Linked DNA regions of Tribolium castaneum. The protein of the gene in region 2 interacts with the protein of the main gene of each other region in a pairwise test. Links are inferred from orthologs where the notes say so. Each region holds a gene or a part of one and is shown on either strand. Other genes may lie near its edges.

The links. The genes of interacting proteins can lie anywhere in the genome.
Region 1: the proteins of Wdfy2 (region 2) and Jwa interact in a two-hybrid assay, tested with the Caenorhabditis elegans proteins (2 studies listed by BioGRID). The link is inferred for Tribolium castaneum from reciprocal best matches to the Caenorhabditis elegans genes wdfy-2 and praf-3.

Annotation. Positions count from the first base shown.
Region 1 is NC_087403.1:1,985,888-1,988,845, forward strand, and holds Jwa (PRA1 family protein 3), read right to left. Parts: upstream 1,784-2,958; 5' UTR 1,679-1,783; coding exon 1,491-1,678; intron 1,444-1,490; coding exon 1,226-1,443; intron 1,181-1,225; coding exon 1,044-1,180; 3' UTR 839-1,043; downstream 1-838. Other genes in the region: uncharacterized protein LOC135267207, read right to left, coding at 1-110, 163-502.
Region 2 is NC_087398.1:812,614-816,617, forward strand, and holds Wdfy2 (WD repeat and FYVE domain-containing protein 2), read left to right. Parts: upstream 1-1,581; 5' UTR 1,582-1,671; coding exon 1,672-1,829; intron 1,830-1,877; coding exon 1,878-2,225; intron 2,226-2,275; coding exon 2,276-2,522; intron 2,523-2,694; coding exon 2,695-3,026; intron 3,027-3,072; coding exon 3,073-3,208; 3' UTR 3,209-3,362; downstream 3,363-4,004. Other genes in the region: Exo84 (exocyst complex component 8), read right to left, coding at 1-255, 302-428, 476-772, 826-1,025, 1,074-1,229, 1,281-1,344; Taf6 (transcription initiation factor TFIID subunit 6), read left to right, coding at 3,710-3,952, 3,996-4,004. UniProt on the Caenorhabditis elegans protein: Plays a role in coelomocyte endocytosis.

The DNA.
Region 1 (2,958 bases), on a different chromosome or scaffold from region 2:
TCGTTCTTTTCCCGACTTAGGAAAACTAAAAAAATGGCATTTATCGCGAGTACTATAGTGTTTGCAATCTGGAGCCCAACACATTCCCATAGTTGTGATGTAAAAACCTACTACACATGAACTATCAAAGTATCGCAACAAAATATTATTCACAAATCATACCTAATGATGTACCACAAAAATGAGATAATGTCTTGGAAAAACAGAATTTTAAAAATTCAAGAACACGAAGATATGGAGAACGATCGGAAAAAACACGATAACAAAAGACACTCACGAAAGAAGCACAGAACTCACAACCCGTACTACTTTCAACCATGTATGTGCCTGAACCCTCTACCCTCGTATACCTGCTATTCATCCCTCGTGATGGGGGAGGGGGACAGAAAACAACCCGTTTATTGGGGTTGCGCCGGTTGCACCCCATGAATTCGTCATTCAGAAGAAATCCAATGTCATTAGTGTGGCAAACCATTTTTCCCTCAGTTTTAAAAGGCCACATAATAATTTACATCAATATGATGTCCAAATTAAGAAAAACTGAATTTTGAAGTTTGAAAAAAGTTAGGTTAGAAAAGGATTTATGTGTTCAACTTACAGAAATATTAGCTCAGTTGCTAAAATCTTTAAGAAACGACATTGCATTTTTCATAGCTATCATTTCTCTGTAAAAGTAATGTTCCTACACTTCTAGCATTAAAGAAATACGAAAAACTTTTAAATGCCCATAAGAAAAGCATTGAAAATGGCGATTGTTTAGCTTTAAGGTGCTGACCTACCTCAAATGTCTACGTCACACTGATAGCGCGTATACACATTGGTAAGAATATCACATTAAAACAATACATAACAATATATTAAAATTCTTATGCAAATAAAAACACTACAACTACTAATAGAAATAATAATGCCATGCAATGAAAAAATAGAGTAGGGCATGTGGGAATCACTTTTTGGGTGCATTTTTCTTCGTGAACAGACGCTTAACGAACGTTTGGATTTTTTCGATAAAATGTTTAAGTTTGTTCAGCCACTTGACGCGGTTAGAACCCCTCTTGATCAAGCCCAAGTTGCTCAAGAAAAATCCCCATGGGGGTCCGCTTTAGCCCCAGATTTTCGACGCGATTGACGATTTTGTTCTTAATGTTCCTCAGTCGTAAAGACGAGTGAATGAAGGTGGCTGTAACAAGTGATTAATTTTCAATTTGGGGGCAAGTTGTTCTACCTGAAATCGGGAGCAAAATCCCGAATAAAAAAACCAGGAGGGACTTCAGCATGTAGGCGACGAAGTAGCAGCCCGCCAAAATGAGCAACAGTGAGACAATCGGGTGTTTCTTTTTGAATTGAGCTGCAGCGAAGCGTTCGTTGGTGATGTAGGAAAACACCATGAAAATGACCGCGGTGACCACGAACCCACAGGCCATTTTCGTGGGGTGGATGACGCTGGAAGGGGTTTCGTTAACTGGGGTCGAGGGCTGGGGGCGCCTTACCCGACAATGACGAAGATTATAAGTGACATTAAGAAATAGTTGCTTTGGTAGTAGAGCAAGTTGCTGGAGACTCTTTTACCCCATTTTTCCAAGTCGTTGACGTTCGGGATTTGGAACCGGGCTGACTCGAGGAGAAAGTCGTCCAAAGACCGCAAGGGGGCTATTTCGAATTCCGACACTTTATTCATTTTCACTGATTTTATTGAGTAATAGTTTTATTTAGAGTTTTGCATCATGGGCTTGACATTTGCACTGTGCCAGAAATCGGGCAATTGCGACTTTCGTGCTTTCGGGATTTCACGAGGGCTGTTAGGAATGCTAGAGTTTGTGAAGTTGAAGATGGACTTCGGTGGGCGGAGCCAATGCGTACTTTGTCGAATGTGAAGGGGTTTTAGGATTGTTATACTTGGAACACATGCAAAATATTTTTTTTTTGTCTTAAAACATTTGGTAAATTTAGATTTAACGCTAATTTCCAATGTGTGTTTGCAAGTGAATACATTATTAATTTTAAATTACGCGCTGTGATACTAGCACCCTGATTGGTCTACTCAGGTGTCAGGCGACTTTGGTCCGTCTTGCAATTTTAGCAATACTGTACAGTGAACATGAGAGTCTGTTTCGTCTGTAGAATATGTGCTTTTGTTTTGTTGTGAGTGTTTTTATGTATAACTAAATAAGTGCTTTTTGAATTTGTGTAGTTAAAGTAGTGATACTTCAACGAATCTACGAACTGAAATCAGTTAACTCGGAAGAGTTAAGAGTCAGTGCCTGACGTAAGTACTATATATATAAATAAGCATTGAATAAGATGTATCTTATACAATGGTATAAGAATAGCGTAATTGTTTAAAAATTGACAATTTACCCGGAAATTAACTGATCTTCATGCATATATGTTGCTGCTAATGTGTAAATTTGGCTAGTTTTTAAACTAGCTGTTTAGTTTGTAAACTAGCCAAAGCATTGATTATTTTAATACGAAACGCAGTTTCAACTAAAATGGTGGCTTGTTTACAAACTACCTAAGAATCTTGGCTAATTTACTTGACAGATAAAATTTAGTTGGATAGTTTATAAATTTTCCAAAACCTTCTTTGGTTAATAATTAAACTATACTTTCTGGTAATACAAAATATACAATCTTCTGACAATTTTGTCTTTTACTATTGATATTAATTTATTAATAATACATAATTATTAGGGCTAAAGGAGACGACAGAGTTAAACCAAGTGTGCGACAAAGACAAGTAGTAGGGGGCCATGATTTTTATTAACAATGTGTTTTGGGACTTCACTAAACAAACTCAGTTAACTAAAAATTTTTAGAGATAAATTTAATATTTTCGTTTATTTTTTTTATAATTTAAGAAGTAAGTCATCTAAGGATTCAACGCTAAAGTTTGAAGTTATGTTTCACCTTTACGTTCATTTCTTTTTCTCTCAAAACAGAAGGTATTTTGCCTTT
Region 2 (4,004 bases):
TAACTTCCAGTTCTTTCATCAGAACTTCGGTTAAGTGGTTACGCCTTTGCTCGACTTTTAATTGGATGTCGAGGATCACGTGGTCCGGTTGGCCACTAGTGGCAACAAATTGCGTGATGTAGTCTTTCGATTTTTGGAGGAAAGTTAGAGCGTCCTCAAAGTGTCTTTGGGCAACGCAAACGTCTAACTCTTCGGGGATTTCCAGAAACCAGTCCGGGTGTACTGTCCCGACCTCGTCCTCAATTTCCTCAAAAGCTATAGTGGGGTAAATAGGGGAAAAGTGACAGTGGTGCCGACTTACGGTTGAGGCTAGGGGAATCGATTGAGGCGGACCGAGACGGCGATTTTTCCACGATTGATTCGCGTTTTTGTTGGTCTTGGGTGAGACGGGCTTTTTTGGCCTGGTCGAACTTATCCAACCACTCTTTCTACGATTTTTTTTTGTAAACTTGTGCAAACTAAATTTTCGCAATACCTTATTTGAGCCAGAAGTGCATTGGAAAACACGAGTGTCGGGAAAAATCAATAGTTTGAATTGGTGTTTGTTGTTACCAATTTCCCGCACATTTACTACCGCGAGACTACCTAACTCGTACATTACCTCAAAAACATATTTCATTAAACCCCGGCTATTATTATTTCTGCAAGTAGTCATAAAGCCGTCTGTAAATAAATAAGCATGGACCGTTTTGATGATGTGATTATCGAGAGGGTCAACTTCTAAAAGATCCCCTTCGTGTAAATAAGTCCTTCCAGGGACTTCCAACAATTCCTAAACCAGTCATACCAATAGTAACAAAAATTCGCCAAAAAATGGCACTTTACCTTACAACCCTCAACTTTTTCTAAAATTGAGGCTAATTTCTGTCGGTTTTCGTCACCTTGGTCTTTGGGATTGTCCCTATTTTCCATTTCTGTGATAACTGGAGTTTCTTCGCCCAAAATCGAAGTTGTTGATAAGGCACCTAATAAGGATTTTTGTTCAGATAAAAGGTGTGACAATTGATACATTTCACTCTCCAAGTCTACAAAAAACAGTCAGACTTATAACTAAGTAAAAATTAAAAAAATACGAGATATTTCTTTAGCAGTGTCAATAAACTGGGTGTAATTGCGGTACACATTTTGCTTCAAATTGTTGTTGGTGTCCTCAGACAGTGACTGAATTCTTTTACGGAGGCGTCGCAATTCGGGGCCCCCCACACAACTTTGAGACAATTCCCTAACATCTAAAAGAACCTAATTATCACCAAGTGATTACGTCTTATTAATTATGTTACATTTTCCCGCATCAAACTCCTTCGAGCTAAATAAACTTAAAGTCGGTTCTTTTGTGGGCTCCATGGTGTAAAAAATAATTATTTATTTGATAATAAAGTTTTTTCTAACACAAAAAGGGAGGCGGTGCCATTTCCTATAACCTCAATGGTTTGACAAGTAATTTGTCAATAGATCTGGCGTTGTGAGCGAACATTAGAGTGAGCCACGCAAGTGGTCGACATGTACGTGTGGGTTATCGTTTGTAACTTGTTTGTGTGATTGTCATTTGCGGTTCTTTGCACATTATCGTTGGTTAGGGACGCTTGTTATCGGCAACTGCGTCGTAAAACTGTCAAATCAAAAGTGTCAAACCTAAAAACAGTGTTATAATTACAATCAAATTAATTAATAATGGCAGCGGAAATCAAGCCAGCAACCCAAGCAAACGACAAATTCTGCACAACGAAAAAGCCCGCCCTTTTGGCAAAACTGGAAGGTTGTAGCGACGAAATAAACGCCGCCGTTTTGATCCCGGGCGAAGATGGGGTTATAAGTGTGTCAGATGACAAGTAAGTCGCTCCCAAACCCGGTCTTTACGCCTCATTTTTGTGATTTAGAACGGTACGTGTTTGGTTGAAGCGAGACTCAGGCCAGTACTGGCCCAGCATTTGCCAGTACATGCCCAGTGGGGCCACTTCGGTCTTTTACACAGTTGAAACCCGGCAACTTTTCATAGGACAGGAAAACGGGACCGTGTCAGAATTCTCGCTGGCATCAGACTTCAACCGAATGATGCCAGTGCGGGAGTACCTAGCACATCAGGCAAGAGTCACCGAAATTATTTTTGCCATCAACTGCGAATGGGTTCTGAGCGTGAGCAGGGATAAAGTGTTTTCGTACAATTGCACACAAACCGGCCGCAACATTGGGACTTACACGGCTGAGGCCTGGTGCACCTCTCTACAGTACTAATTTTTTGCGGAAAATTTTCGAGTCATGTCTTTAATTTTTGCAGATTTGATGCACAAACCAAACATGCGTTTGTTGGGGATTATTCTGGTCAAATAACTATGTTAAAATTGGATAATGCGGGCCCTAGTGTTATCACAACTTTGAAGGGGCACTCGGGCTCTGTTAGGTCACTGGCTTGGGACAGCGAGCGGCAGATGTTATTTAGTGGCTCCTACGACCAAACTGTTATCGTTTGGGACATAGGGGGGCAACAGGGCAACGCCTACGAGCTGCAAGGTCACCACAACAAGGTAAACATTGTTTATTACAACCGCAGTTGGATTTTTTCCGAAGCAAAGATAATTGTTTATTGGTTACGTAGGTCAAGGTTTGTTTTTTGTTGGCGATCGGCATTTGAAATTAAATTGGCAACAGTGCCAAAAATTACCAAAATTGTGGAAACAAGTGAATGTGATATTACAGGTCTCTGCTTTGTGCTACCTTAACTCGACCAAACAATTGGTCAGCGCGGGCGAGGACGGGGTGCTGGTCTTCTGGGACATGAACCAAACGCGTCAGGAGACTCCCGAGTGGATCGAGTCCGATTTATGTCAGTTGTGTGGAAGACCGTTCTTTTGGAACTTCCGAGCCATGATGGACCAGCGACAGTTGGGTTTACGGCAACACCACTGCAGACATTGCGGGAAAGCAGTTTGCGAGAAATGTTCCACAGGTAGATTAACAATTCCAGCGATGGGTTTCGAGTTCGCAGTGCGTGTCTGTGACCCTTGTCACCACTTGTTAAGGGATAGAGAGTGAGTTGCAAGTGGTGAAGTTATGTCTTGCTAAAGTTTTTTACAGGAGGGTGTCTTTAGCCACATTCCATGATGCTAAGCATAGTATTACAGCGATGGGATTGGACGAGACTCGCAAAAAATTGGTAACAGTCGGACAGGACCGGCTAATCAAAATTTGGGACATTTCCGCTTTGCTTTGAATCCGACTGGTTTAGTTACTAACGCTGGAATGTGATTCACACTCAATTAATTAATGTGCTATGATTTATTACATTATGTAAAATTTAAATATTATTAATGTTATATTTATATTCTATAAGTTCTATTGAAAATAAATCTATTATAATCACAGAATTGCGCCTCATTTGTGCTATTTTTGAACCCAAGTGTGCGAACAAGTGACATGATTCCATGAACGGATGGTAATCTGTGGTGACGTCAAATTTACAGGAACCTGCTTTCGGTCCGATTGTTGTCAGTTTTTTTCGAACAAACAATTGTTCGTTGTGATTTTTTCTCCCCCACACGATTAAATCAATTAAGTGCACTCTTCTTCATGATCCTTTAATACTTTGGTTCTTTAATGTTGTTGTTATGCGGCATGTGTTGGTGTTTTCGTCGTGCGTGCCACTCGAGTTGGCACCACTGGTAAACAAAACAAGCGCATATGCCAATTTTTGGCCCCCTTTTTGCCTTGAAAAATGTCCAAAAACGCTGAAAATGACTTATACGGAACGAATTTATCCGTCGAATCTATGAAGGTAATAGCCGAAAGCATCGGAATTGGAAATTTGCCCGACGACGCTGCAAAGGAACTAGCTGAAGACATCTCATTTAAACTGAAACACATCATTCAAGACGCTGCGAAGTTCGTCCACCATGCCAAACGAACAAAACTGATGCAGAGCGACATTGACGCAGCCCTCAAAGCCAAAAACTTGGAGGTATGTGGGCTTTTTGGTTATTTAACCTCATTGTGTCTTACAGCCCCAGTAC